Linked DNA regions of Neodiprion lecontei. The protein of the gene in region 2 interacts with the protein of the main gene of each other region in a pairwise test. Links are inferred from orthologs where the notes say so. Each region holds a gene or a part of one and is shown on either strand. Other genes may lie near its edges. The genes, in order: complement component 1 Q subcomponent-binding protein, mitochondrial; HMG box-containing protein 4.

The links.
Region 1: the proteins of HMG box-containing protein 4 (region 2) and complement component 1 Q subcomponent-binding protein, mitochondrial interact in a two-hybrid assay, tested with the Drosophila melanogaster proteins (2 studies listed by BioGRID). The link is inferred for Neodiprion lecontei from reciprocal best matches to the Drosophila melanogaster genes CG4617 and P32.

What each region holds. Positions count from the first base shown.
Region 1 is NC_060264.1:1,826,203-1,842,013, reverse strand, and holds complement component 1 Q subcomponent-binding protein, mitochondrial, read right to left. Parts: upstream 6,983-15,811; 5' UTR 6,784-6,982; coding exon 6,567-6,783; intron 6,407-6,566; coding exon 6,256-6,406; intron 6,171-6,255; coding exon 5,968-6,170; intron 5,574-5,967; coding exon 5,485-5,573; intron 5,392-5,484; coding exon 5,242-5,391; 3' UTR 5,134-5,241; downstream 1-5,133. Other genes in the region: CDK-activating kinase assembly factor MAT1, read right to left, coding at 1,176-2,017, 2,114-2,237; TP53-regulated inhibitor of apoptosis 1-like, read left to right, coding at 3,488-3,718, 4,072-4,164; pre-mRNA-processing-splicing factor 8, read left to right, coding at 7,911-8,130, 8,319-8,487, 8,581-8,745, 8,856-9,071, 9,447-9,785, 10,030-10,135, 10,390-10,918, 10,994-11,220 and 12 more.
Region 2 is NC_060263.1:38,128,326-38,145,252, forward strand, and holds HMG box-containing protein 4, read left to right. Parts: upstream 1-5,658; 5' UTR 5,659-5,795; coding exon 5,796-5,925; intron 5,926-6,057; exon of another isoform or gene 6,058-6,805; intron 6,806-7,059; coding exon 7,060-7,604; intron 7,605-7,746; coding exon 7,747-7,822; intron 7,823-8,112; coding exon 8,113-8,298; intron 8,299-8,385; coding exon 8,386-8,798; 3' UTR 8,799-8,932; downstream 8,933-16,927. Other genes in the region: phospholipase A-2-activating protein, read right to left, coding at 812-1,138, 1,265-1,686, 1,779-2,019, 2,101-2,431, 2,633-3,508, 3,716-3,852; U3 small nucleolar ribonucleoprotein protein IMP4, read left to right, coding at 4,423-5,358; glycine dehydrogenase (decarboxylating), mitochondrial, read right to left, coding at 9,022-9,132, 9,282-9,427, 9,522-9,988, 10,063-10,712, 10,796-11,078, 11,161-11,681, 11,827-12,217, 12,401-12,536 and 2 more; ruvB-like helicase 1, read right to left, coding at 15,025-15,578, 15,840-16,515.

The DNA.
Region 1 (15,811 bases), on a different chromosome or scaffold from region 2:
TGTCTTTCGTTTTTTTCCTGACCCCCCCCCCCCCCAAATTGGCGTCTAAACGATTAGCTGAAGTTAGTAACGATTCATGTTGAGGAAGAATCCTTACTTCTTCATCTTGAAATTGTTTGAAATTCGGTGAACCGTAATAAAAAAAAAAACAAAAAAACATACCGATCGATTGCCCTTGTGAAAATAAGAAAATAGACGAGGTTGAAGTTAGCAACGTTATCGTAACGAAACGTTGAGAAAAAAATCAGTGTTTTCTTATTTTAACAAACGATTTCGAAGGAACTATGATTGCAAATATCAGTACATGTCACGTTTTATTACGGTTTACTGTATTTCAAACAGTTCTAAAATTACGAGGTATGAATCGTTACTAACTTCAGTTTTTGTCGGGAAATAAGGAGCCGCTGCACGCAAAATTTGAAAATTGTCTTACCTTATTTACGCGAAGCTGTATCCAAAGATCGGCGAACCTCGGCTGGAATTCGGTAAAAATGTTGATTCCGGACGATAAATACGTCCGAGGCGTGCGCTGCACTCATGAAATGCAAATAAATTAATCTACCGAAGTGTTTTTCGCCGCCGACACTCCTCGACCTCGTGCATAAACGGTGTGTAACATTTCTTCCCTTATACATACCCCGCGCCTTTCGGATTTAACCGCCGAGCACGAATTTATTGGCACTCAGCGCTGGCGCCATCTGTTAACGAATCGTCGTACCAACTTCGATGCCGGGAGGCTAGGGCAGATTTGAATCCGAATCACTTGACTTGTCGGAACGTCGCTTATTCGCTAATTTACCGCCTCTGTTTATTTTAATATTTTCATTGTGCAAAGAAAATAAACGTCAAACTACCGATCGCATACCTCTATTTTGTTTTTACAAACTCTTCCACCCAACGATAATTACTATTATTATTATCATCCTCATCTTTTTAAGCATTAAATTGTCAACAATTTCTTACAATATAATGAAAGCGGTACAGCCGTACAAAATGTATAATTCGTTGTGAAAGCAGCCCACGAATATATTATTTACACGATACTACATGAGCCTGGGAGTGTCTGTTCACCATTTGGGTATAATAAGCTAGTTTTCATCGCAGTCAGTCGATATCGTCAGGAGTTTTTAACAAACTGACGGGAGACCGTCGGCAATTTATGACCAGTCGTAGGGTCAGATTGCCATCGACTCGGGAGGTCTTTGCGAGGGATTGTGGTACAGCCCAGCCATCGCTTCCTGAAGCGCTCTCAAACACGCAATGTTCGACTTAAAGCCTCCGGCTTTTTCGGCCGGCTTCTCGCTTCTGACGTGCGCGATATATCCGCCAGATTCCATTTCCTGCCAGCCAGGAGGATGCGGACCTTCGACTTCCTGCTCGATACGCTTGTAGCAGTAGGTAGGACCTTCCTCGACTTTCGGTACAGGCATGAATGTCTGCTGACCCTGTCTGCCGAATTTTATTCCGGTACTGAATTGGGTTACTTTTGCGACTGGCACGACCTTAGCTTCCTCTCTGGTCGCCTGGATCGTAGACGCGAACGTCTCGACAATGTTCGCGGCGTCCGCTTCTGAGAACATTAGCTCGTCGATGAGAGCCTCTTTCTCACGTATTTTTTTCTTCTTCATTTCAACCTCCTGCTTTATCAACTCCAATTTCCGCTCCTCCTCCTGCTGCTTTTCCAGCTCTAACAATTCCTCAAGCTCGTATTCCTCCCTGCCCAGCTTGGACTTGCTTTTCAAAATTTGTTCCTTGTTCGCCTTCTTGTACTGCTCTATCCTCTTGTTCGTCTCTATTACGTCGATATTGTTGGCCAGGTTGTATATTATCGTTTCAATTTCCTCGAGGTAATCGTTGTACTCTCGCAGCGTTGTAAAGTCCTCCTCTTTTTTGTTGAAGTCGCGGAGTATTCTCTTGCGGATGTCTACCTCTTTTTCTACCATCGAGTCCTCGAACAATTGGATCCTGAAATTTGTTCTTCGCAACGGTATTTGACATTCGGGACAAGCGCCAGAGCCTACAAGAGAAAATAATAACAACATGTATTTGAATGTTTGTAAATAAGCGTTAGAATGGAAAACGATGTAATGGAACTGTGAGCATCGATAATTACCCTTCAAAAACAAGAGATCGACGCAACTTTCGCATAACGCGTGTCCACACACGTTTACCATCAACTTCAACGACGGATTTCTGTACTTGGTCGTTTTACAACGGGGACAAATTTGGTCGTCCATTGTGACAAGTGATTATTGTTCAACCAGCAAGGAATAAATGAGGGTAAGCATAAACAACAACGTGAACTTAACCCCAGCAGCTATTTTTATTAACCGCACATTTCATAAGATAAGATTATATTTTATGTCAGACTTTATTTTTCCTGAAAACTTCTCCCTGTATGCAAATATAATGACTCGTTGAGGAACGGTATTATTACGTAGGTAGATATAAGTACATTATTTGTCAACAATACTCCAAAGCGCCCAAAAGCGCCGGATCTTTTGACGCAAAACCAAAAACCGGAAAACGCACGCGACGTGCAAAGAGAAGCCTTTGCGTTTTTTGTGCAGACACAATTTCGTGGCGCCATCTGACACGAAATTGGTTTTTGAAACTAATCGGAAACATTCGGAAGCATTCGGAAACATGAAAAACACGAGCCGGGCTCTCGAAAGTCGAGGCACCCGAAAATTTCGACCCTACAATCAGCACAATCTGGCACAATCACTCCGAACGTGATAAGTCGAGCACGCAGAATCGATGGGCTGAATTCTTGAATATATTTTAACGCACGCTACAGACGCGACTAACTCAGTTGCTTCATTCGCTCCTCGTGAAAATCTCTGTCCGTTCAGCTTGTCTTCGACGTTTGACAGTTCAGATTCTACGATCAAAACCACGGTGCTTTTTATGTATTTACGACACATCGTACGAGCGTTTTTAATTCAATCAGAGAGTACATAAAATTGTTCCAGGAGACAATCTAGCTCCGTATTAACAATTAACGCAGGTAAGTCTTTGCGCCGTATTGATAAAAAAATATGCCTACGTGCAATCATTCGGCTGTTCGCAAAGAAAAGTGAACAACGTAACCTCAAATTCAGGCCCTTCAACGTTATATGAAAGAACACTGTTGTCTCAGTTGTTACAATTATCATGATGTAAAATATTTAAGGTTAAATTCTGTCTCGAAAACTTTAACCTTAAAATTTTTCAATATGTTGATTCTCGTCAGTCATTTTAAGACATAAAGACGCTGTTTTCGTTTTGTTTGCGGCACTTGTCAATAAATTAAATCTGTCAAGTTTTCGAGTATATGAATATTACCATCTATATTCAATTAGTGGCTTGCATTTGGCATAACCTAACGCTAAATTTGTTGTAGCCAAATATCGAATATCTATCAAGGATAGCCTTTGACTTACATTGTAAAAAACGTAATTTCACTCTAAAGGATTCGATTCAATACTCTATCAGCAAATGCAAAATGCAAGCCAAAGGCTTTGGAAGTACCGTGTTGGAGTCGGTTGGGTCTGCTTTCAGAAATAGTCCGAGTAGCACAGATCTCCTCATGAACAGTATTGGCGAGACGTGCAATGAGTTCAAGAAGCAATACGACTCGTGTTTCCATTTCTGGTTCGCTGAGAAATTCCTGAAAGGGGAAACAAACGACTCCATGTGTGCTCCTTTGTTCAAAGTCTACCAGCAGTGCGTAAAGGTAATTTTATTACTATTTAGTTATTATTATTTCAAAATAGGTTTTTGTCACCGTGACCAGACTGAGCCGAACGTCAGCATGGAAGCATGCAGTGAATTAAAACAGAAATACGACGCTTGTTTCAATTATTGGTTCTCTGAAAAATTTCTCAAGGGCGATAGAAACGACTCGATGTGCTCTAGCTTGCTCAAAGTCTATAAAGAGTGCGTGGCGGTGAGTTGGACGCAAAGAAACGAAAACTTGAAATCTCTTCGATAAACTATGTCAACCTCAAGATTAATCAATCCTCAGTTTCAAATTCAGCTCTGTACTTTTTTCTCGCAACCAATGATTTTCCATCTTTCAAATTTCAGAAAGCTATGAAGGATCAGCACATAGAGATTAAAGATGTGGAAGCTAACTACCTAGGTACAGATCAGGAGAAAACAGCCCCGCCTCGCAGCTGACAATTAGTCGATAGACCGTGGATGCCAATATCGTCTTGGATGTCAGCTATGCTTTGCTCGCCGTGCATGCCGCTGGCACAAGTTACGATCCCATCGGTACCTCATAAAGTTACCAACAGTGAGGCGGCGGTACAGAAGCATGCATCGCCGGATCCTTAATTCAGTAGAATAAAAGCTATTAACAAAGATTGAAGTAATTTATATGAATTTACTTTCAGGTAAAATTGTTTTATATCTCTAGGTATGAATGATTTCATTATGCAATATGTTTATAAGGCTAAAGCTAGCAGCCGGAATTAGGAGCCAAATTTTCTAATGTTCGTTCGGATAAGGTAGTGAAATACGAAGATCTAAATTTATTTAAATACCTCGAACTCCCGACACTTTAATAGAATTATGTTGATAAAACTGAACGATATTTCTCTATTTCTAAAAAGTTAAACACGTTTGGCTGCTAGCTTCGGCTTCATATATGTTCAACAATAGCTACTTATTTTAAACTCTTTGTGTGGCGGTAAAGGTAGTAAGCTTAAACCTCGATTATTAATGCCTGAAAAGATTATTCTTAATTATTGTCACCACTCAGCAATTTTAAAGAGACATTCGATGCTTCTTATTGATTACACTCAGGTTTATCAATTGAATATTTCCAAGGCATTCTGCTTTAGGAATGCCAAATGTAAAAAAACGTTTCAAAGCTTCTACTCGAGACTAGCTTAAATGTATAACAATTGGCTCGTAGCACAATGATTTCAACTTTCTTACAGAGCCAATAGTTTAGCAAATTGAATTCCATATTTCCTTATCAAGTATCAAGAATGTGTGTATACATATGTGTAATATAAATGTATAGAAAACTATCAAACACGTGTTCAATGTCATATAAATTATTCATTTTTTTATTTTAATTCCTTATTTTCCATGCGTATTTTGTATTCAGAGATGAGAGGAAAGTTATGGGAAACACAATTGGCGTATGTAAGAAGAGTTTATTTACGAGACCTAAGACTATACAGTACAGTTCTTCTGATTAATGGTAAACATGTCGGACATTCGACAGACATTCAAATAACGGAATTATTTTCCAGATGTGAATTTTGAGAGACCTTCGAGTAAACTGATGTATGCCGTATGTTCATAGGTCGTACTCAGCTCGATCAGTTTCTCAGCAAATTCGTTTGACACTCCTTTCTCCTCAAGATAGTTCATCAGTAAATCATAAAGATACTGTCGAATGAAATGATTATTTTCATTACAATGTCGTTGCAAGGGAAAAAATTTTTTTTCAGTATTATGCCATATCTGTTATTATATACTTACGCCATCAATAACATCACCAGCGACAGCATAAATTTTGTCATTGTGTTCTCCTTCGTACAATGTTATTTCGTCTATGCCAAAGATATCGTCTGCACAGGACACAAGTCAAAATTCTTTCATGTAGTGAACTTACTACTCTGTTTAATTTTCATTTTTCTATTTACGTAAGTTGCAATGTTGCACTTTTATAAGGGTTTGTCGATCCACCGTGACTGAGATAATTTCGTTGTTTATGATATTACCCAATGCCAACGGTAGCACTTTACTTTTCCAAAGGTAAATTATCAAAAAGACAAAAAGTTTGTCAATTTGTACTCAACGCTTTGGATACCATTCACGTCCGATCAACCACAATTTTAAAACAGAATGCAGCGTAAATTTAGTCAAATTGAAAATAAAGAAAAAAATGTAACTTCAATATTTCGTAATGGCGAGATTTTTTTAAAATTTAATTTGGTCCATGGGAGGGAAAAAAAAACTTACTGTAGCCATCATCGGCACCAGAAGCTTGCGGTTCATTATTGAATGAACATGTGAACCCTAGAGTTTGATTTCCTCTTTCAATATCAACTTCGAAGCTTGGCTTGCTTTTCATTTCTCCAAATTCAGCCTTGTCTTCTGGGGTGTCAATGTCGGGTTCAGAATCAGAATCGACAGTATGATTGACATTGAAATTTATCGTTATGCTAAAAAATTACGAATTCAGTCAAGTTTTTGTCACAAAATTGTAATAACTATAGCAAGAAGATCGCTAAACAATTTTTGGCTTACGTTTCATCTCCATGTTTTTTGGTGAGCGTAACCTCCGCTCCATCTAACGATATCTTAAAGCCGTCTAACTCTGTGGGAATGGTCTTCATTTTTTGTGCCTTCTTTTCCGCAACAATTTCTTCAGCTAAAAAGAGTCCCAATTCTTTCTCCGCTATAGCATCAACCATGTAAATGACAAAAAATTGCAATTGAATAAATAGAGAGAAAATTATCACTAAAAAAAAAAACCAAATAATAGTAATAATAATAATAATAGTAAATTATATTTCGGGCGGAGAAGTTACGAGGTGACATTGAAAAATGACCCTAACCTTTGGTGTGTGCCTTTCGGGAGCAGCCGCAGCTGCAAAAATCGCTGGGATTTTGAATTTTGTAACTCGTTAGTGGTGCAAGTTCGTTTTGCCGGCTGCACATGTTCCACATCGTTCTTGCGAAATCCCTTCGTGCCGTGCCGCCGACAACAACGGTAGATTGTGTTAATCCCTTGAGAGTTGAGGCCCTCAGAGCGGTTCTGACTAATCCGTTCATCTTTCTGTCTTCTGGCTTATACCGCCGTTGATAATTGTTGTAATTAATTTACACTGTTTTCTAAAATTCGGCTGATGCACGACTTGGCACGGCTCGCGATCAAGCTACTCCTTGCGCGGAAAAGGTTGCGTCAAGGCTACGTTCACTCTTGTATTCTCGTCTTCCTCTACCATACTTGCCTCTACCCTGTTCGCCGACCGGATGTTCACTAAGGTGAGCTCAAAACCACAAACTAGTCAGGTATACTTAGACGCGGATATGGGGTGAAAATTATTATCGTATAATGTGACTTTCAGTGGACTTTCCACGCCGAAGTGCAGGCATTTTTCTCGACGGTTGATGCGTGTAACCTTAGTGACCGGAAGTCGACTCAGTGTTACAAAGAGTTTAGTAAACGCAGCCGCCATTTTGTAGCGGCGCTACTGATTTCGAGTATTCGAGTAATTTCGTCTTCGTTCGGCATGTCGGCTTGTAAACGTAGGAGATACGTTTCGCAAAGATACGTATAGACGGACGAAAATCAGGTGCCAAATAACACCAGTTGATTAATTGGAAGAGCAAATTGGGCGCGATGTTGCTGAACAACTAGCGATACCCTATTTGCAACAGAAACCAAGGTAAATACAACACTCACGACATTCTCGTGATCAAAATGGCTGACGATTTTTGTCCTCACCGCATTCTCGCCAATGAAAATCAACGGTCGGCGTCGATTTTGACTGATCACTAAGCGGAAATTTTTGCTTATATAACCTCAAAAATATCATAATTATTTCACTAATCGAATAAAAGTAATAAAAGCTTTTAAGATCCCAATTTGACAATGGAAGTCAACCATAACCAAAGGATGTGTATTTACAGGCCTCAACGCCGCATTTTTATTACTCAATAACTCTGTAAATGATTGACAGATTACGTGACATTTTCTTGCCACATTGTATTTCCGTATTGATTTACTTTCACGTATTTAATTCGGATTGTATGATATCTAGGTCAATTGGCACGATTTCTTATATGCTCATTTACGTCTAGTTATACTACTTTTTCAACTCATAATTTCTATAATAATTAGCTGATTGATCAAAGATTTAAAAAATTTCTTTTCAGCTAAATAAGTCAGCGTCAAAATGTCTATACCGCCTTACTTGCTGGGCCCAAACCCATGGGCCACCATGATGGCCCAGCAGCAGGCTCACGCTCAGCTTGCAGCTGCGCAAGCTCACGCGCAAGCAGCGGCTCATGCTCAGGCAGCCCATCATGCTCACATGCAAGCAATGGCTGGGCCGCCGCTACCGCAGCTGCCTAAGCAGCCCGAAGTTATTTCCGAAGATAAATTGCAGGAAAAAGGTAAGAATGGATTATTATTGTTAATGTTGGAAAGACAGAAAAGGTCCTCTACGCATGTGTATTATTTTCTAGTGATTGAAGAAAACATCTAAAAAATTGATATATTTCCAAATAACATTCATTGATGAAAACTGTTCACATATGATTAGATAACTTGATTTCGTTATCCCACTTTCTGCAAATTTTAGCTCAAAAGTGGCAGCAATTACAGTCCAAACGTTTTGCGGAAAAACGTAAATTTGGGTTCGTCGATGCTCAGAAGGAGGATATGCCGCCTGAGCACATAAGGAAGATTATTAGAGATCATGGAGATATGAGCAGCCGAAAATACAGACATGACAAACGTGTTTATTTGGGGTAATTATCGTGTATCAGTGTTCAATGAAGCTCTATTTTTTGTTTGTAATTTTGTCTTCACCTTTTGTTATACGGTCATTATATTAATTACAGTGCTCTGAAATACATGCCTCATGCTGTGATGAAATTGTTGGAAAACATGCCAATGCCATGGGAACAAATTCGGGACGTCAAAGTGCTGTATCATATCACCGGAGCCATCACATTTGTCAATGAAATTCCATGGGTCATTGAACCAGTCTATATCGCTCAGTGGGGGTGAGTTTTTAAAGAATTTCCAGCTCTTTGTTAAGAGAGAAAAAAAGGTCAAATAATTACTTCGGCCCAATGTTTGATCGTGATTAAAATCTAGTGAATTTAATTTTAAGAACAATGTGGATCATGATGAGGCGTGAGAAACGAGACAGAAGACATTTCAAAAGAATGAGATTTCCTCCGTTCGATGACGAAGAACCGCCTCTAGATTATGCAGACAATGTGTTGGATGTCGAGCCTTTGGAAGCCATACAAATCGAGCTTGACTCGGAGGAAGACGAATCGGTTGCTACATGGTTTTACGAGCACAAACCTTTGGTTGGGACGAAGTAAGTAAATGCTTGATTATGATGCTGAGCTCAGCTGAAATTTTTCTTGAAAGTGAACTGAATTATTTCATTAGCAATATCAGGACCTTTCGCAGCTTTGGCGTCAATATATGACCTGCTGCCCAACTCCTGACAATATACGTCATTTATACACCAATTTCATGATGAATCGCGTAGGGGTCCTGAAATCAGTCATTCATGTGGTCTGACGGTTGCAGCGTTGTTGTTTGCTTGTCTGAGATAAAACAAATGCAACGTTGTGATTGGATCAAACGCTAATCTGAAATAGACTTACGTATATACTCAAAATTTAGCAGCCTGAAGAAACATGACCAAAATTATTTCATGCAACGAAATTTTTCTAATAATTTCCAGGCATGTTAATGGATCAACTTATCGTAAGTGGAACTTGTCCCTTCCACAAATGGCAACATTATATCGGTTGGCCAATCAGCTGCTGACTGATTTGGTTGATCAAAATTTCTTCTACCTCTTTGATCCAAAGTCGTTCTTTACTGCAAAAGCTTTGAACATGGCCATTCCTGGCGGTCCTAAGTTTGAGCCCCTTGTGAAGGATTCAAATGCTGCTGATGAGGATTGGAACGAGTTCAACGACATAAATAAAATAATCATCCGACAACCAATTCGTACGGAATATCGTATCGCTTTTCCTTATCTGTACAACAACATGCCACACTTCGTTCATCTTTCGTGGTAGGTAGTTTTACTTGCAGATTATTTTTTAAATTTCTGAAGATTCTGTTATTATATTGATATCCACACCAGTTTTAAGACAATATTAAAATTATATGTGGTCTTACTAGCCGTGTGGTAAAATATTTAGTGATCGTTATTCGTCACCCTCGTAGAGGAGAGAGGGCGACTGCTGAAATCACAGACAAATTTTTAACTTTAACAGTACTATCCTTGTATTTGTTTAATTACATCCTGGTCGCAGGTACCACGCTCCTAACGTTGTCTACATCAAGACCGAGGATCCAGATTTACCTGCCTTTTATTTTGACCCATTGATCAACCCGATTTCACACCGAAATTCATTGAAGGTACATCCATTGCACTTTAATAAATGCTGTGTAGAGATTATCATATTTGATTTCGAGCTGTTCCACGTCGACATCCCTGTTCAATGAGTTGTTCAACTAAAATAGCTCGTAGATGAAGGGTCATTTTTGCCCTGCGTTAGCGCAGCATGACTAACGGAGTTTCCAAAATGACGACACTGTATTTTATTCATCGAGTTTCATTCAAAATCTCCACAATTCGCAATTTAATTTTAGAAAATCCTCTCTTTCCGTAGACAATGGAGCCTCTTCTTGAAGAAGATGAAGATTTTGTACTGCCTGAAGAGGTTCAGCCATTTTTGCAGGAGACTCCGCTTTATACAGACAACACGGCTAATGGAATTGCTTTGCTTTGGGCACCACGTCCGTTTAACACGCGATCTGGCAGAACTAGACGAGCGATTGATATTCCCCTGGTAAAATCTTGGTACCGCGAACATTGTCCACCAGGACAGCCAGTCAAAGTTCGTGTCAGCTACCAGAAATTGCTAAAGTACTTTGTCCTGAATGCATTGAAACACAGGCCTCCAAAGCCACAGAAAAAACGATACCTCTTCAGGTCTTTCAAATCGACCAAGTTCTTCCAGACTACAACTATCGACTGGGTAGAAGCTGGTCTTCAAGTATGCAGGCAGGGATACAATATGTTGAACTTGCTCATTCACAGAAAGAATTTGAACTATCTTCATCTTGATTATAACTTTAACTTGAAACCGGTCAAGACTTTGACCACCAAAGAGAGAAAGAAGTCGCGTTTTGGAAATGGTGAGTGGTAAAAATGTCAAAGATCATAAGTTTGGACTGTAATGTGCTAGTCGTAATGCTTGTTTTTACTTTCAGCATTCCATCTGTGTCGTGAAATCCTCCGACTGACCAAACTGATTATCGATTCTCACGTTCAGTACCGTTTGAACAACGTTGATGCCTTTCAACTCGCTGACGGGCTTCAATACATCTTTGCTCATGTCGGACAACTTACTGGCATGTATCGCTACAAGTACAAACTGATGAGGCAGATTAGAATGTGCAAAGACTTGAAGCACCTTATCTATTACAGATTTAACACTGTGAGTATTTTTTTGCTTTTTTTTTTCACGTACCGTTTCCCTATTCTTGAATTTATTCACTCTGTAAAGCTCGTGTTTTACAAAAAAATCTTTTTTTCGTGTGCTGATGATAGGGTCCAGTAGGCAAAGGTCCCGGATGTGGATTCTGGGCACCTGGATGGAGAGTGTGGCTATTCTTCATGCGTGGTATCACACCGCTGCTTGAACGCTGGCTTGGTAATCTTTTGTCTAGGCAATTCGAGGGACGGCATTCCAAAGGGGTTGCAAAGACTGTGACCAAACAGCGAGTCGAGTCGCACTTCGATCTCGAATTGCGAGCCTCTGTGATGCACGACATCGTTGACATGATGCCTGAAGGTATTAAACAGAACAAAGCCAGAACAATTCTTCAACATCTTAGCGAGGCTTGGAGATGCTGGAAAGCTAACATTCCATGGAAGGTTTGTGACTTGATTCCGTTTCATCTCTTGATTCGTTTTTTTCATCACTCTTCAGTGACAATTTGTTTTTTGTATAGGTTCCAGGGCTGCCTATTCCGATCGAAAATATGATTCTTCGATACGTGAAGATGAAGGCTGACTGGTGGACTAACACCGCACATTACAATCGCGAACGTATTAGGCGAGGTGCTACAGTCGATAAGACAGTCTGTAAAAAGAACTTGGGACGTCTGACAAGACTCTACTTGAAGGCAGAGCAGGAGAGGCAACACAATTACTTGAAAGTGAGTGTTAAAAGGTTGATTCTTCGATTAAATACCTGACGCACGAAGTAATGCTAATTTTCTGCGGTCGAATTAATTTTAGGATGGACCGTACATCTCTCCAGAAGAAGCTGTTGCCATTTATACAACGACAGTTCACTGGCTTGAGTCTCGTCGATTTGCGCCAATACCATTCCCACCATTGTCTTACAAACACGACACGAAACTTTTGATTCTTGCTTTGGAAAGATTGAAGGAAGCCTACAGCGTCAAGTCAAGGTTAAATCAGAGCCAGCGAGAGGAACTCGGATTGATTGAACAAGCCTACGACAATCCTCATGAGGCGTTGTCAAGGATTAAACGTCATCTATTGACGCAGAGGGCGTTCAAAGAGGTAAGCATCGTAAAACTTTTATTGTGTGTTTTTGTTTTTGCTAATGTACAAAACCATTACTCTGTTCTGGTCTGAATATTCATGATGACAGATTTGTGTAGGGGTCTGAAATCAGCCATTTGTGAGGCTGACTTCTGGTTCAGTGAGCAGATGTTTGTCTGAGATGAACATCTGGCCTGTTTTAGTTGGAAAAATAGCACAACCTGAATTGTTTGATATGGAAAATAACTTTTTCTCCCCAAAAATGTCCTCTCTCTCAACTTCGCGATCTATTTCTAGGTCGGAATCGAGTTTATGGATCTCTACAGTCACCTGATTCCCGTCTATGACGTTGAGCCGTTGGAAAAAATCACGGATGCGTACCTGGATCAGTATCTCTGGTACGAGGCGGACAAACGCAGACTTTTCCCACCCTGGGTAAAGCCATCTGATACAGAACCGCCTCCACTTTTGGTGTACAAGTGGTGTCAGGGTATAAACAACTTGCAGGATGTGTGGGATGTTAGTGAAGGCGAGTGCAACGTCCTGCTTGAGTCGAAGTTTGAGAAATTGTACGAAAAAATTGATTTAACATTGCTGAACAGACTCCTCAGGCTCATCGTTGATCACAATATCGCTGATTACATGACAGCAAAGAACAACGTTGTCATAAATTACAAGGTAATTGTTATTTCCATATTCTTTACATTATGAAATTTCGAGGATGTAGAAATTGCTAAATAATTCAATTATCTGTCAGCCTTCTACTAGTGCCTCGTAAAGTAACGATCACTTTTGCCCTGTACTGGTTTCTCATACCTGATACAGTTTCCAAGATGATGACAAGTTGAATCGATTTCAGGACTGTCGTATTTTCTTCAGGATTTTACGATTGACAAAGTTTTTTACCTTATTTCCAGGACATGAATCACACGAACAGTTACGGTATTATAAGAGGTCTGCAATTCGCTTCGTTCATAGCACAATACTATGGCTTGGTATTGGACTTACTCGTGCTCGGTTTGCAAAGAGCAAGCGAAATGGCTGGGCCACCGCAAATGCCCAACGATTTTCTGACTTTCCAAGATGTAGCTTCTGAAACGGCTCATCCAATTCGTTTATTCTGCAGATACGTGGATAGAATCCACTTGTTTCTCAGGTAAAATTGTGATCCAGTTTTTTAGTGAAGGTAATATAAAGTTTCTTGCGGAAATTTCATTAAGTATATTTACAGGTTCACAGCAGAAGAAGCCAGAGATCTGATACAACGGTACTTGACCGAACATCCAGATCCGAACAACGAAAATATCGTAGGTTACAACAATAAGAAGTGCTGGCCTAGAGATGCGAGAATGCGATTGATGAAACACGACGTAAACCTGTGAGTGTTTGGCCGTTTTATACATTAATTTCTAATTTTTTCACGCAAACGATTAATTATCTACTGTTGAAGTTCTTTTTTCTTTAATTCGCAGCGGTCGAGCCGTATTCTGGGACATAAAGAACAGATTGCCTCGGTCGACGACCACCATTCAGTGGGAGAATAGTTTTGTGAGTGTCTACAGTAAAGACAATCCCAATTTGTTATTCAACATGAGTGGTTTCGAGTGTCGCATATTACCAAAATGCAGAACGACGCATGAAGAATTCACGCACAGAGACGGAGTTTGGAATCTGCAGAATGAAATCACTAAGGAAAGGACGGCACAGTGTTTCCTCAGAGTTGACGACGAAAGTCTTCAGAGATTCCACAACAGAGTCAGACAGATCCTCATGGCGTCTGGGTCGACTACTTTCACCAAAATCGTAAACAAATGGAACACTGCGCTCATCGGTCTCATGACTTACTTCCGCGAAGCTGTTGTCAATACTCAAGAACTTCTGGATCTACTTGTCAAGTGTGAGAACAAAATTCAAACCAGAATCAAGATCGGTTTGAACTCTAAAATGCCTTCGAGATTTCCACCTGTCGTTTTCTATACTCCCAAAGAACTTGGAGGACTCGGTATGCTGTCTATGGGACACGTTCTCATTCCACAGGTAATTCGCACATATTTCAATAATGTATCAGTCAGGTGTGCGTCGTTTCAAATCTTTCATTCTTTTCATTGATAATTTCAGTCTGATCTGAGATGGTCAAAGCAAACTGACGTTGGAATTACTCATTTCCGATCCGGAATGAGCCACGACGAGGATCAGTTGATTCCCAACTTGTACAGATACATTCAGCCATGGGAATCAGAGTTCATTGATTCTCAACGAGTCTGGGCCGAGTACGCGTTGAAGCGTCAAGAGGCGAATGCGCAAAATCGTCGTCTCACTCTGGAAGATCTTGAAGACAGTTGGGACCGTGGTATACCAAGGATAAACACACTCTTCCAAAAGGATAGGCACACTCTTGCCTATGACAAAGGATGGAGAATCCGAACAGAATTCAAACAGTACCAGGTCATTACATTGTTTCAAACTTTCCTGAAACCCAAATTAAATTAGCCCAAGTAATTTGTCGTATCTTTTATTTGGTAACTCGTGTTACAGGTACTCAAACAAAATCCGTTCTGGTGGACCCATCAACGTCACGACGGTAAATTGTGGAACTTGAACAACTACCGAACTGATATGATCCAAGCGCTTGGAGGAGTCGAAGGTATCCTTGAGCATACTCTGTTCAAAGGAACGTATTTCCCTACCTGGGAAGGTCTGTTTTGGTCAGTATTTTGCCATTGTTTAATAGTGTTGGCAATAAAATCTAAACGATTGACATTTTTATAGCATTTCTTTTATTTTCGTAATGTAGGGAGAAGGCATCAGGATTTGAAGAGTCGATGAAGTACAAAAAATTGACAAACGCACAGAGATCTGGTTTAAATCAAATTCCGAACCGTCGTTTTACTTTGTGGTGGTCGCCGACCATCAACAGAGCCAACGTTTACGTTGGATTCCAGGTGCGTCCAAAACTAACTCCATAATTTTCAGCCACCAGATGAGCAGGGATATAACATTCCTTTTATTCGCCATAGGTGCAACTGGATCTGACTGGAATTTTCATGCACGGAAAAATTCCCACGCTAAAAATATCCCTGATTCAAATCTTCCGTGCCCATTTGTGGCAAAAGGTTCACGAATCTATCGTCATGGATCTGTGTCAAGTGTTTGATCAAGAATTAGATGCTCTCGAGATTGAAACTGTACAAAAGGAAACTATCCACCCGAGAAAGTCTTACAAGATGAACTCGTCTTGCGCCGATATCTTGCTCTTCTCTGCGTACAAGTGGAATGTGTCCAGACCATCTTTGCTAGCAGATTCAAAGTGAGTCATCGCTACTTTTAACAATCTTCACTCGGACTGCAATTCAATTAATATAAGTAGTCCATTGATTTAACTTACATGACGTAATCAGCAACTGTGTTGTCGCATTTTAGAGACATGATGGACAATACCACAACCCAAAAATATTGGATTGATGTCCAATTGAGGTGGGGTGACTACGATTCTCATGACATTGAACGATACG
Region 2 (16,927 bases):
CATGTGCGACTTTTGTTTTATCACTGTCACTATTACATGTCATCAATTTCTCTGTCACTCCAAATTTCCCCGTTAAACTATTCGGCATTTTATTCGAATTAAATAGAAAAATCATAGAAGCTTACAATGCTGACAATGTTGAATCAAATACTAAAAAAAAAAAACGTGATCTGCATTGAATTCAAGACATTACATGGGTAGTAAAGTTCACTGATAAATTAAAAACTACTCCCTGTGGGTTGCTTAGGAGAAAAGAAAAAAAAAAAAAACTAGAAAAATTCTTGTATCAAAGGTCGCAATTATTGTCAAATTTGGTAGCACACGCAGACGTAAGATTTTCTCCAGCAATGCTAGAGTTGTGGGACAATCATTAAATAATTTTTCGCCTCTTTCATTTAAAAGTGCTCTCGATAAATTTGAACACTGCTTTTATTCCAAATGATGCTAATTTTAATGGGTAACACGTAGCACACTCTACTACACACTGTACATGTAATGGATGTAATCAATCAATATTCACACAGCAATTCAGTAAATAATGCAAAAATATTATCATAAATGAACATTACATAATTGATGCAGGTCTCGCGTGAACAAGAAACCGTCCCAATTCCACGAATTGGAGCCAAATCATTTCGAGAAGATATGAATTTGTTGCCTAAAAATTTTATGTAGACTATTCGAGTAACTAGGTCTCTCATAACCAATTACGAAGAAATCGTGAGTTTAATTATTTTGAGAAATTCGAATTGCCGAATGAATATTTTCTCCTTCAGTATTAAAAATACGAAAGTTTGACAGTAAGAATTCTTTACATAATTAGATCAATAATTTGCTTGGAACAATTAGAAAGTTTATTTTGTGCAGGGCTATTGGTCGAACATTCGGACATTGTCTTGATAACAGCCAGTGCACTTTCGCACTGTCGCACAGCTGTAATTAATTTATCACGATCCTCGGGGTCTGGTGTTGCTGCCAAAATTGTACCCAACCCAACGAGCCCTCTGAATATTGCTTCGGGCTCAGTCAAGAGCGGCAAAACGGCAAACATCACATTAAGTACTCTTGTTCTGCCAGGTGTATCGTCAAGTTTATTCAATGCCACTATTAGATTAAGCAGGTAACTCGCTATCGCAATCTGAAACAACAGTTGTAAATTGATTAATTGTAGGATTGAAAACATGTACGGATAGAAGCTCTAAGAACGTTGGCGCTGATCAAACCGTCCCGCATGTCAGAATAAATGTTGAAGTACCGGTTATACCTGGTTATGTTTACTTCCAAGAGACGAAAGGTCGAGTATCGTCTTGAGTAACTCGTCTTTATAATGTAGACCCAATGCTTCACCCTTACTATGGCAGAACATATTAGCTAGTACTCGAAAAGCTAGCATTTGATTAGCTGGAAGTGCATCAGTTTTGATGTGCCGCCTCAGCACCGCCAATAATCCGTCATTGCATAGCTGCGAGTTAACATCTGGTCGAAGTACAGCCAGCCTTGCAAGGTCTAGTGCTGGGAACACCAAGTTATTTGGCCAATTCAAAAATATTTTCAACATTTCAATTGGATCAGCTCCAACCTCGTCTCCGTTTTGACTGCACAATCGTTTTACAAATGGGTCTAAGCATTCCTCCGAAACTGTGTGAATGCCATTGTCAATCTTTTTGTTGAACTCTAGTAATTTTTCTGGAAATTTTAACAAATTATTTGTTGTATATTTTTAGTAGTAACAAAATTACTGGTATTTTATGTGCAAAAAATATGCAATCATTCATCACCAGTGATAGCTGGAACATTGGCTTGCTCCAATTTCAAATAGGTAGTATGCGGTATATATGTCTGCGACACAGAACTACTGGAAGAGCTAGCCGACGGTGTTGGCACATTATTTGGTAATGTTCTTCCAGGAATTCCAGATCCTGGTATGTACCTATTTCCTCCTGTAAAAGGATCAGCGAACTGGGGTTCGGCGTTCAGAACTGGGGCAGACTGAGAATTATTTACAATGAAGTTTGCCACCTGCAAACAGGAAAATGTCATTGAAGGGTCTTCGTAAGCCATGTGCATAAGACATTTTGTTTGATAAAATTGATATCTTGCCTGTTCAAGAAATAGTTGACTAAGGTTATTATCATGGATAAACTTTTGGGCCGCACACCAAGGATCATCGCCATTATTGTAAGGCAACTTTAGAGGTGGAACACCGTCTTGAATGTCGACTGAGAAAACGTAGTCGTACTCCATACCATTATACAATTGTTTACCAGATGTGGCTGGACTACCACCAGAGGCACCCATCACATCTCCCACATGTTGCCACTGTTTGCTTGATTGCGACCAGCTGTAAGCCTTGACGGTATTTCCATCTCTTATCATTTTTGTCTGACCATCTCTTTGTCCAGGTTGATGTAGAGCTTTGGCATCTGGCAGACTGTGGGTCACCAGGAATCATCATTGTTAATGTTTTTGATCAAAATACATAAGATGTTAAAAATTTCGCACAATCATTCTAAAATTATGTCATTTTAGAACAAGTCAATGATGCGTAGGATTAAACGTACACCCTTTCCTTCCAGAAGTAATATTCAAAGATGAAAGAAAAATTTGACAAGAAACAGGGAAGAATACCTACTCACTAATCTTGATGCCACCCAACTCCTGCTCAGCATTAAGCTGGGTATTAGCGATGGCCTCGTCGTACTGTTGCAAAGTTGCAGCATCGGCATAACGTTCAGGTTTAGCAGAGAAAATTCTAACTAATCCATCGGAAGATCCAGTGACAATGTCTCCATTTGGCAAAATGTCAACTGACCATATGGACTGCGCAGGGAGTGTTAAAGTCTGTTGGATTTCAGCGTTGTGCCAAATCCTAACAGTCCTATCTTCTCCGGAAGTAACAACATGTGAACCGCCCAGCAGAAACGTCGATGCTATTCCATACACGTAGTTCGTGTGCCCACAGTAAGTGCCGAGGCAAGTCCCTAGGGATACACTCCAATGTCGAATGGTTGCGTCATTGGCACAGCTCAAAAACTCTTCGTCCTTGATCACGCATATTCCACGAACGCAATCTGTGTGTCCTGAGAACTTGTGGAGTATGGTGCCATTTCTCCGCCAGGCTATAACCAGCTTGTCAGCCGATCCTGAGACTATGACGCCATTGGCCAAATCTGCCACACACCAGACAGCTGCCGTGTGACTGGTCAGAGTCAGTTGTGGTGAATCCAGCTTGTTGATATGCCATAATTTTGCTGTAAGATCCCACGAACTGGATAGGAATGTTCCCTCCTCCTTACCTGCACTCAAATTGCACACAGTGTTTTGGTGCGCCTTTATAGTGTGCAGCGGATTCTCTTCCCCAGGCAGGTAAATGCAGATATTGTTGTCGTTGCTCCCAGTAATTACAAAGCCATCCGGGAATTGTTCAGAGGGGTTTATTACGCATACTGAACTCACAAAGTTGCTGTGACCCTTTAGCACTGCGGATTCCGTGTATCCGGCATTTAATCTGAAAGTTAATTATTGCGGAGGGTCAAGCATCATGAAAACCTGAGCAACGAAGCGAATTTCCGTTCGCTAGTCAACTATGGAACAACCAAACGGGGAGCTTGACAATGAAAAGAAAATCCCTCATTTACACGTTGCCTCGATCACAGGGACAATAATAATTCGTTGTGGGACATTCAAAGGAATATAGGTTAGAGCTTCGACATACTCATTCGGCCTCCAAAGGCGAGCGGTTTTATCGCGCGAGACTGACACCAGACTTCCATCCTTAAATGCCGCTACAGCTCGCACATCAGAACTGTGACCAACTAACACGGAACTTAATTTATACGGTGCTTCTTCCATGATCTATCAAAATTGATTGTACGAACCACTATAAAACTGCATCTATCATCTACTGTCATCCACGCCTGTGCTCACGGGCGATGTAGTAACGCACATTGTCCGAAATTTTCATCAAATTCGTTGTCTTAGGTGTCCGCAACGCTCTGCTGGTGGCCGTGAGTCAAAACTTTAAAAAGGGCTGAAACTCTGAGTCAAATTTGATTTAAACGTGAAATAAATAATTAACGTACTCCAACACGCGTGGAAAATATCATTATTTGTACGGTAGACTGCATAGCCTTGTTCGTTTTTTACAAGATGCGTTCATAATTATAGCACGTCGATTATTGATTTCACGCTTCAACCGAATTTGAGACGAATTTAAAAACTTCGAGAATTGCCCGATGTCTAGCTATTCATATCTAGCTGTAGCGTAAGTTCTCTACTTTTTACTCAACCTATGGAATACGAGTAGCAAAACACGTGTGTTGCATCGGATTTGATGCTTGTTTGACGGCAGCCTCGCAAATTGTGAAAAATAAATAACGCATTATTGTGTGCTAAAGGGTTGATAAAAACGAAAAATCGAAGATGTTGAGAAGACAAGCGCGACTGAGGCGGGAATACCTCTATCGAAAGTCAGTACAGGACAAAATGAAGACGATCCAGGACAAGAAAGAGAGGTTAAAACATAGCCTAGAAGAGAATACTCCGATCCATCACGACCTAAGGAAGAATGCATTGCATTTGCAAAAAAAAATCGAGTGGGAAGATGCAGGCCCCGAAATGGCCGTAGCGATCAGTACGGAGATGGGAGGAGCAATCGGCACGCACGAGGACGACGAATACCGATGGGCAGGTGTCGAGGACCCGAAAATAGTTATAACGACATCGCGAGACCCCAGCTCGCGGCTGAAAATGTTCGTCAAAGAGCTCAGACTCATATTTCCAAACTCCCAAAGGATGAATCGCGGTAATTACGAAATGAAACAGCTAATTCACGCCTGTCGTGCCAATGACGTGACCGATTTTATCATGGTGCACGAGCATAGAGGGATTCCAGACACCCTGGTTATCTGCCATCTGCCCTACGGACCTACAGCCTATTTCACCATGTCAGACGTCGTCATGCGTCACGATATTCCAGACATTGGAACAATGTCTGAACAGTATCCGCATTTAATATTTCACAACTTTAAAACTAAACTGGGACAGAGGACTGTCAGCATATTAAAGCATTTGTTTCCTGTACCTAAGGAGGACAGCAAAAGGATAATCACTTTTGCTAATCACGACGACTATATTTCATTCCGTCATCATAATTACAAGAAAATAAATGGCAAGGATATTGAAATGTCTGAAGTCGGTCCCAGGTTTCAACTTAAATTGTACGAAATCAAATTGGGCACATTAGACAATGCTGCTGCTGCTGATTCAGAGTGGGCGTTGCGACCGTACATGAATACTACTCATAAAAGACGGTTTTTATCTGAGGAAGATGGGTGGCAACAGGAAGATGACTTTTAGATGCACTTCAAGTCAGACATATGGTTTTTTATAAATAAAATGAATTTTGTATGTACAGCTATGAAATTGCCTTTTTCTCATTTACCGTAAATCTAACCTTTAATTTTTTCTAAACATTATGTAACTCGATATTCAGTGCATTAAATGGAAAATATTGAATGTTTGAATCATCTGCTCTTTTTCAAGTAATTTACAATTATTAATAACTCATTGATGATGTCAGTTTCGCGCGCAAATCGAGTCGCCACGAAACAGTAATTCAACCTAGATGGACGGATCATGCGCACTACAGTTTCGGTTGCAACGCTGCAGTTGTTTTTAAAAGATCAGGGTAATTGTGTGTGTGTAAAATTGGTCTAATTTAATTACGAGCACTGAAAAAGAAGTACGATCATTTAACTAAACTTGAAGCTTGTTTTAATTTAAACAACCCCGTCATGCAGGCGGACATTCGAAAACAAGTACCAAAACTTGAGAACCCCCAAGCACAGCGGCGTAAGAAACATTTCGACCAGCTCGACGAAATGGAATCGTTCGCGTCCCCGAAACGTCATCAAAAAACGGATGGTGAGATACGTCCAAAACGCGTATATAAGCAATTTGGTTAGCTTAGCTGCATCCTAAACACTACTGTGTCAAAATTTACGTAGACATTGGCGCATGGATTTTATTCATTTAGTAGTAACGTTCGTTTTTGCGATTTAGCCTATTCTCCGTATCATGTAGTTTCTCGTTCTCTTGCCACGTAGTTAGCGCTTGTGTATTTGTCGCGGTCGGCGTTGGAACTAATTCATCAGCGCGTAAATTGAGCGCAGTTTGGAACGGATCGATAAATTAACATTCAATTATTTAATTCAACTTTACTAATATTTAGAACAAATTTTCGCATATTATGTTACCAAATTTTTCACAATAAGTCGCACGTAAAATTTTTCCAATACCAGGGTCGTCGCAAACGTGAAAATTTCTATGTAGCCAAAGAATTCTATTAAATACCCTGAAATTTAATCCCATTCTAAAGTCAAGCCACTCAATTTGAGTCAATCATCCTATGAAATAAAGAGGGACCTGAGAACTAGATTTCTGTTCGTAGGGAGTAATACATTTGTATTGTGTTCAAAAAATGCTGTCTGCAAATCAATATTATTATTATAATTGCGAATAACAAAGTAAATTGTGTAAAGTTGAAATTTAAAACAGTATTACAGGGTGCTATTGGACTTTGTTCATTCAATGGTTCCCAAATAATTTCATATCTCACTTAACTTGATAAGCATTTTCTTATTGCTAAAAGAAATTTAGAATTGTTTAAGTTGGAATGTGATAATTTTGACGTATTGAAACTGTAAATTTCTATACTTTGAAACAATCTGAGAGAAATCATCTCTTTGTTCCTGAAAACTGGTTAAGCTTGAGAATCTGGAAAAAAAAATTTTGCAACAACCCTGTAAGTTTACATCGTAATTAACTTTGGCAAGAAAGTTGCTGCAAGTAATACTTTATTTGAGTTACACCCAATATATAGGCCGACCCTTCATCAGTTCTGACCAGTAAATCCAATTTGCGTAGTGAATCCTACTTTTCAATAGTTTGGTAGTTTTGAAGTCTTTCATTTGGATTTAAAAGCGTAGTTAGATGTAATGCGATGTGTTTTTATCCCTGATCCTCTTTTGGCAAGATCTAGTTGGCTTTACATTTCAGATTTAGAGGTTACAGGGATATCACGTAGTGGTCGCGTGCGTAAAAAGTCCTCTAAACTTATGGACTTTGAGTCTCCTGATGACATAGCAGACAATAAATACAAACGACAAAAAGCCCAACAGTTACACGCACAGCATTTGCTAGAGCGTTATGAGGCGCATCGTCAGCAAGTTACTCAAAGTCATTCATCTCAGCATGGAGACGCCCCTGTTCAACGGCAACGCAAAAACTCTGGATCCCACATCGGCAGAGTTAAGGCTGAGCCGTTGTCCGAAAATGAAGGACACTCCTCTGGCTCTTATTCTGAAGATGATACGGCAATGAACGAAGAGGAAAGATATAGCTTAGAATCTGGTAGTGATGATGAAGTGGATCCCTTATTGATTGATGATAGAGAAACCGGATTCAGGAGACTTGAACCACCCGGTCAGGAAGCTCCCTCACAGGCAAATAGTTTGTACATGCTTGAGAAGTGCAAGAAGAAATTAATTATCAAGGATGGTAAGATTATTGGCAGAATGAAGGCTCAACGAAAGGATAAGGGTGTAAGTAAACTATAATATCTTTTACTTTTCAATTATTCATGACTACTTTTCAAACGTAAGAGAGACAAATCATCCTAAAATTAACCATCTGGAATGTTGCTTTGCTCTTGGATTGATAAATGAATAAAATTTCATCTTACAGAAAACACGCTTCACAGCCTATATGCTGTGGGCAAAAGAGATAAGACACGAATTAATGAAGCAATATCCTGAAATGGGTGAGTGAATATTGATGTTGATACGCTGCAGTAAAATCGTATACTATGCTCGCTATTTAGTAGATAAAAATAGTGGCTAGTTATGCTCTGAAGTAAGATATAATTTTTTAAAGATTTGGTATGATGTTCCTTACGTCTCTTTTCATTGAGAAGGTTTCAAACGTTGATAAATATTACTGTTTTTTTATGATATGACAATCTTCAATATCAATTATTTAATTGATCTTATGTATCGTGAAAATGAACAACTTTCCGGTTACATGTTGAAAGAGATCTATTGATTGCTTCAGATTTTGCAACTATTTCAAAGCGTCTTGGTGAATTATGGGCAACTGTGCCGAACTTGGAAAAGTACAATTGGAGAAGACGGGCGAAACGTCTAGCGTCAAAGCCCAGCGCAGCAATCGCAGTCAAAGATGAATCAGTATGGAAAATGCCTCCACCTTCATCGAAAAAGAAATTCATTAACAAAATTGGTAAAGGACATGTTGAGGATCATCTGAAAGCTCAATTTTTATGAAGCTGGTTTGCCAATATTAAGTTAACTTTTGGTCAATTTTCAGGAAACGGTAAAGAAACAAAACCTTCCCCTTCAAAAAAGACAATACAGCTTGGAGTACCTTCCGTGGTAGGAAATATTCCAGTTTCACCACCATCTAATCGTGGTGGTAAAGATCTAGTAAATGAGCCAGTCATTGGAACAGGAATGTACAAAGTGATAGGAATGCAGCCTGTGGATGTAGCTGCTCATTTGAAATTGCTTGGTGAAAGTCTGACGATAATTGGTGAACGATTAAAAGAACACGAGGGCCAAATAGCGGTTTCAGGTAGTCTTTCGGTTCTGTTAGACTCACTACTCTGTGCTCTTGGTCCATTAATCTGTCTTACGCAACAAGTCCCAGAGACAGATGGTGCAAAACCTCAAACACTTTCTCGAATGCTCGACAATATTGCGTACATCATGCCCGGTCTGTAGGCATAGTGTCACTAATGCAAAGAAGTGAAAATACAGCATTGTATTATGAAAAATATAGCTTTTATCGAATTAAATTGTTTGATACTTGTGCTTATGAGACGTCATACAATAAATATATGCTATGCTGAAGTTAATGAGTCGAGATGATATGTCTAGTACAATCTTAAATCCTAATCTTGCATTAAATATTTACACATAAATAAATAGCACTAATTATGGGCAACTAATATTTCGGCAGAATCTGTGGACATGTACAGAACAGATTCTTATCGCCGTATATGTCATCAATTCTTCCAACACTCGGCCAGATCTTTGTATCGGTTTTCACAAATGGCTGCAACAATAAAACATTTATTTTAAAAACGATTAAGTGCACAGAAAAATTATACTTTTTTATAACTAATTGAGAAGGTAAGGATCTGAAATTCTTCCAGTGTTTGAGAAAGAAAAGTTGAAGATACTAATAGTCTATTAATTTCTTACAGCGGGAAAGGCAGCTTGTTCGCGCGTATATGGCCTGTTCCATTCTGAGCAAACAACATGCTCCTGGGTATGTGGTGCCATTTTCAAAGGATTTATTTGGGAATCTAGTTTACCATTTTCTATTTCCCGAATTTCGTTCCTGATGCCTGTAAGGGGATAGTATTATTTGAAAAATGAAGAACAGTATGTAGAATTATTTAGAGGCCAGTAAACAATAGTAACTTATTAACGAAAACGTACTAATCAAAGCTTCGCAGAATCTATCAAGCTCTGGTTTATCCTCTGACTCGGTTGGCTCTATCATCAAAGTTCCAGTGACTGGCCAACTCATTGTTGGCGCGTGAAAACCATAATCCATGAGTCTCTTAGCAATGTCAACAGCCTCGACATTGGCTGTTTTCTTGAAATCTCTCACATCAATGATAAACTCATGTGCTACGAGACCAGTGGTCCCCTTGTACAACGTCACGTAATGACCTTCTAATCTCTTGCTCATATAATTGGCATTAAGAATTGCTACTTGAGTTGCCTTCCGCAAGCCTTTCGGTCCCATCATCTTTATGTAGGCCCATGAAATTGGTAAAATCGCGGACGAGCCGTAAGGTGCCGCAGAAATTGTTCCTAAACTCTGTTTACCGCCATCCGTGTCATCAGCCAGTGGGTTGATAATGGGATGAGAAGGTAGAAATGGTGCGAGGTGTTTTTTGCTATAAATGAAAAAATCCTCATCATGCCCAGTTTGATTTTAGTCAATTTTTGAGAATCATCTTGTACTACTTACACCCCAATTGGCCCTACGCCAGGTCCTCCACCGCCGTGTGGAATGCAAAATGTCTTGTGTAAATTTAAATGTGAAACGTCGCTTCCGTAATCACCAGGTCTGCACAGTCCAACCTGTGCATTCATGTTAGCTCCATCAAGGTATACCTGCCCTCCACCGTTGTGGACCATTTCGCAAATATCGGCAATGGTTTCTTCGAAGACACCATTGGTGGATGGATAAGTGATCATTAGACAGGATAAATTCACTTTGTATTTATCTATCATTTCCTGTAAATGAACTATGTCGACAGAACCATCTTTTCTCACATGAATCGGCTCAACACGCATCCCTGCCATTTGTGCTGAAGCTGGATTTGTGCCGTGTGCAGAAACTGGTATCAGACAAACTTGCCTGTGGGCATCACCCCGCGATTCGTGATAACACTGGATAGCTCTCAATCCTGCGTATTCACCTTGCGCACCACTGTTTGGTTGAAAACTAATCCTATCATAGCCTGTTATGGCACAAAGATCCTTTTCAAGTTCCGTAAAGAGTTGCTGATATCCTTCGGCCTGCTCGATTGGTGCGAAAGGATGTATATCAGTGAAACCTTTGAAACTGGATGGCATCATTTCGGTTGTTGAGTTCAATTTCATTGTACAAGAGCCCTGCAATTCAAATTGAAAACTTATGAGCATGCTGTAACGTAAATAGCGTTTTTGACCAATGTTTCACTCCAGCTTTCACTTACCAGTGGAATCATACTATGCACGAGAGAAACGTCCTTATTTTCTAAAGACTTCATGTACCGTACAATTCGAGTTTCAGAATGATATGTGTTGAAAACTGGGTGCACCAAGTAAGGTGTTGTACGCATAAATGGGGAGTCAATGATGCTGTAAATTCCTTTCGAATCACTTTCTACAACTTCTTTAGCCGTCATCTTTGAGCCAAATATTTTGAGAAGATCATCAACGTCTTTCAGTGTAGTCGTTTCATCAAATGCTATTCCAATTGACCCGTCATCGTTATACCTTGAAAATCGCAATAGTTGTAGGAAATAAGATTATACATCATCTACGTGGTCTTGATTACTATAACACTACACTTGCTTACCTCAAATTAACTTTAGCTTTTGTTGCTCTTTTTCTTACAGTTCCTTGATCATCTCGAGGCAGTACAGTGATTGTGTCAAAGAAGTGTTCGGTTTGGACTTTGTTGTTTCCCGCTTTTAATCCACCAGCGAGAACTGCAGTTAGATTATGCACTCTGGTTGCTATATCTCTCAATCCTGATGGTCCGTGATAAACTGCATACATAGCGGACATGTTGGCGAGTAGAGCTTGAGCAGTGCAGATATTACTTGTAGCCTTGTCTCTTCTGATGTGTTGTTCTCTGGTTTGAAGTGCTAGACGATAAGCGTCAACACCATTGGCATCCCTTGTTACACCGATCATCCTTCCTGGCATTAACCTTACTAGGCTTCGACGACAAGCAAAGAACCCTGCATGTGGTCCCCCGTATCCCAGTGGGACACCAAATCTCTGACTTGTACCAATGCATATGTCAATTGAAAAGTCGCTGGGTGGTCTGATCAATGTTAAGGAAAGCAAATCGCTCGCTGCACACACCAAGGTCTGTAAAAGAGAAAATTCAAGATACTTTAATAAGGGATTGCAACGACACAGCGATATCTAAATGAATTGTGGACAATTTAGATCTGAAACGTATTTCATATTTGGGCAATCAACCACATTGTTCTATGCAAGAAATATCGCTTACTCCATTAACATGGGCCTGTTCAACAACATTTGAGAAGTCGCGAATCTGCCCTGTTGTATCTGGATACTGTAAAAGAATTCCAGCAATATCTTTTTTTGCCAAGTCAACTTTAAATACATCTCCAACTTCGATGGTCAGTCCCAGCGATGTAGCTCTTGTTACAACAACATTTATCGTTTGGGGATGTAATTTATCAGACAAAAACATTTTCTTTCTTCTAGTATGCCTGTAAGTAAGCGACATCGCTTCCGCAGCAGCAGTGCTCTCATCCAGAAGAGAAGCATTCGCTACTTCCATCCCTGTTAGCTCACAAATCATAGTTTGGTAATTTAAAAGCCCCTCCAATCGCCCCTGAGAAATTTCTGGTTGGTAGGGCGTATACTGTGTCGTCCTAGGAATGTAATTGTCAAATATGAATACGTTTTAGTTAACTTCGATAGGATTCTTAACGTTATTCAGTTAAGATTCTTATTAATAGTTTATTGATGGATTGTAGTACACACAAACAATTGTTGCCGAAATTGGTGCTCTGACACATAATAATAACCATGTACTAAATGATAAGTTTGCTTACCATCCTGGATTCTCGAATATGTTTCTCAATATTGTATGTGGGACGCTACAGTTATGGTACCCCATACCGATATAGCTACGCCAAACTTGATTCTTTTCCGAGACCTCTCGAATTCTTTTAATTAATTCATACTCATCTGGAAATGGAAAATTTGATCGTGGATACGGAATTAATAAGTATTCAAGTAATCAAAATTTTTTTCTTTCTTCGTGATTATTGCCAAAAGAAATTGTGAGAGAATTAGGTTTGATATTCGGAATGAATATATGTGTAAATACGAGTCATCACCGACGAGATGATAAAATTATTTGAGTCTGTTCTAAGTTGTTATTAAATTCGACAAAATCAATTACGAAAATTGTCAGATGTTGATAGGAAAAGTACGTGAGTACACATCTCAAGTCACAGTTTCACCTCTTGACCGAAGATAAGTATGCTCTTTATAAAAAGTGATTATATCAGCTATGGAACATTCATTTATGCGATTAACTCAACTCTCGTGTCCCCTATCTGACCTCACGTGTTCTACCACAATTTGTTATTCGAATAACCATACTAGATTGTGTGTATTATGTTTCTTATCAATTCATTCCACTTCTCATGTTTAATGTGCAATATCATTTCTCCGCATAAATAACGCGATATTTTTACATGCTATCCAACTCGTGTCTGCATGGAAAAATTTCATTGAGGAGAAATAGTAAAACTGAATTTTTTAACTCTATATTTTTATCGGTGATGAATTGAATCTCACCAAATTGTCAAGTGTGAAATTAGAAGAGTTTAATGCAATCGTCACGGCTCTGAAAAAAAAACTCACGGACAGACCTCTAAGCTATTCGATTGGCAAAGTACTATACTTAATTATTACGAGTAGATCGCACAATATGTGAGGCGCAACATGAATAACATGCAGGCATCCACTTATATGCAAAGCTTACGTATTAGCAACCCTGTGATAACCCAATGAATACACTTGACCCTCTGTCTCTGCTGGGGGCTCTGTCAAACTTGTTTACACTTATCAAGTACGTTTCCAAATACGTAGTTAGTTTATCACTTTCAACAATCTTGTTCCATAAAAAGATGTTTTGAAATGAATTATAATTCCATTGAGACACTGGATATGATATACTAAAAATAAGGCGTGAATTGAAAACAATGTATGTGACACAATTCTCTTTTTTCCTTGATTATGAGTTTATTAAGAAATTCAAATATATTGTACTTACTAACTGGCTCCTCTATTTTTAAAGGCTCGTTCAAGCAAATTTTTTCTGGTACAGCAGATCGTGTCAATTCATCCAAACTCTAAGATGAAGAAAAATGTTCTTTAGTTTAGTTAGATTTTATAAAGATTTGAAACGTTTGTTTCACTTTTCATCATACAAGTTTGTAAATTGTATCAGTATTTTTGGAATTCAGTTAGTTACAGTGGATTTTCATCTGTGTGATATGTACATTTACATATTCAACAAAGACAGCACTGTTGCAAAACATTTCAAATAACTAATTTTGCGAAAATAATGTTTCCGTGATTATTGTAAAATATGAACGTAAATCATCAAACATGTCCACGAAACTTCAGTTTTACCTTAAACCCAATAGTCTCGAGCATTTCAAATTGTTCATGTTCCCTTGGTCCAATGTGTCTTACTTGGAATTCTTCTCTCTTTGGAAATAACTTCTCGAAATTGGATAAATTAATACTGTTTGAAACTAAGGCTCGTGCATACTTGATCGTATATTTTTGAGTGTGTAAAAGTCGGGAACAGGTAGAAACTTTAATTATTGACTGCATCGTGTTAAATTATTTCAAATTAATACTTGATAGTGATATTTAGAAACTTGTTTTCCCTGCTATTGGTAACGAACTCTGTACTCTCTTATTAAACCGTGCGTAACTAAGAGTTCAAAACGTGAGCTGAGATTTTATACCACTTGAAGGCGATGACGCCACGTGATGTGTGCGCGTCTCTCGATTGCGATTTGAACTTTGTTGACCTTGGCACAATGCGGAGATTCTTAGACTATGTCAATGAAAATGCGACTGAAATGCAATAATTTATCAGTTAATGGAGATTACACTGTGTTAGTGCATTGCGGAATGTTATTCACATCTGCGATAACTTGAAATCGCTTTTTCAAATGAAATCTTTCCTTTCCTATTAGTCAAAAAAATATTTCATTCCATTACCAAATGCTTGTACTATTTTATATAATCCATTTTGCTTGCAGCATCTTGTTTGGCTAATGAAATTTAGTTTTATATCTAATAACAGTACACTGATAAATTCGCAGGATATGAAAGAATTTTATTGACATGGTCTATGGAACATAACATATTACAATCTAAATATGAAGTACATAAAACTGGAAAATTGCAGACAATTCACAATTATGGGAATCTTAAATTTACAACATATTGGTAATTGGAACACATTTATATAAGTTGTATTTTCTCTGGCGAATGTGTATTCTTTCGTGATAGTCTTTTCATTCAGAAAAGTCATGTGAAACTAATTGTAAAACTGCTACAATTGTATTCAGAAACAAAATAACCACGTCGAATCTAAAAATTTGTTCAATAATATTCGAGTCTCAGGATTAACAACGCAACACGTTTATTTCATGTATTTATCTTTATGCTGTGTCAGGATTTTAGCCGATGATTTAGCATCCAAAAACAAAGCTCCGACTTCCTCAACATCTTCTTTCTTAATCACAGTTCTTCCATTAACTTTGGCAGTTAATGCAGCTGGTGTAAGCAACTGAACGACATATCTTAGCGTTGTCCTAGTTCCAATGTCACCCAGAGTTTGCAAAGCTTCGTCTTCAACTTGTAAGCCTTCCGTCGTAGCCCGCAATTTAACAATCTGTTCAATTTCCTTTCTCGAGTATGGCAAAGTTCTTATGATTAGTAATCTATCGAGTAAATCGAGTGGTATTCCATGTGGCGAAGCAATGTCTTCTGTGCCTCTGATGATGCAACGACCACGGTTTGTTGCAAATATAACTATTGGAGCAATTGCACTTTCTAAAGCACGATGGAGATATGTAAATGTCTCAATATCCAGCATATGTACTTCGTCTATGAACAGAACTCCAGGTACCAGTTCTGCGATACCCTGATCGATGTACTTGTTCACAACTTTGTTTATTTCCTTCCGCAGTTTATCTGAAAATATACATGTAACACATTTAAAAATAGAGACTCATCCGGTTTGTAAAGTGTCACTCAATTTTTATCATCTGCAACTTTTCTTTTGAGAAGTTCAAAATATTCGGTGACAATTCGATGAGATTCAGAACTGTCTGTTGCTAAGGCATATAACTACAGTAATCAATACTTGAAGTTTGATCAATACAATACTGATAATGATTACGAGAAAAAAATATATTTCTAAAAGAAATCTGCACTTAAGTAATCAAATTTTACCGGTGATTTCAGTTTTCTTGGGCTTCATGAGTTGTCCCATCATTGACATGATGTCCTGTCCTCCTTGTGGTTTAGAGTTAGCGACATCTAAATCATGCAGCGTGACATCCTGGATAACTTCTTTCTTTTTGTGGACATCACCTTTGGGCAAAGGCACGTATTCCTCTGCTTCCAAGTCAAATTCCGTTGCGAAATTGTCACTACGTCCTTGTCGTTTCACAGCCCCGCTATTTGCCTCGATATAAATTACATCGCCGGTCTCAACCTTTTCTTTTTGGAGAGATTCGTATATAGATGGATCAAGTTTCAACTGTTTTGTTCCTTTAGCAGTTTTTAACCCAATAACCACATGGGAAACTGTCTTTCCATAACCGCCCATTGGGTTCTCAGTTTCCACAGGCGTCAGCTCCGTTACTTCACCTTCGTAGACTTCTTTGGTTTCTTTTATTCGCAACCCAATAGCTCGTCTAAAATTTTCCATAAGTACCTCTGTTTTTTTTATCTCTGAACTATATACTTCGGAACCAACCATCGGACAAAATGGCACTTTGTTACCCAGTTCCTGCGCTATTGCAAGGGCAACTGCTGTTTTCCCTGTTCCAGGTGGTCCTGCAAGCAGGACTGCTCGCCCAGCCATTTTCTTCGATCTTATCATATCGACGACAACACCAGCAGCCTGTAGAATTAATGTCATTCAAGAATGAGGTAAAAATAAAATAATTCTCTGTAATGAACAATTGGTTATTATAACTCAAGCTGTGGGTTAGCGACAATGATCAATTTACAAAGGAAAGAAATAATTGATGAAATAGTTGTTTCAACAGCGGTTGAACAAATCAGTGGCACTGGGCAAGAAGTTTATTATATCATTCAGAACGGTAAGAGTATAAATACCCAAGTATCACATAGATTGTTGAGTTTATGAGATATTTCTAAACCGTTGTTAAATCTGATATTGTATTTTGCTTTTTGGAGTATGTAGTTTTCAGTGATGTGAGGTTAGGTTAGATTGTACGATGTTGTTTTGATATATCTATAAGACGACGACACGAGAAGGAACGGGTTTGAATTTTAAATAAAAATGAAAA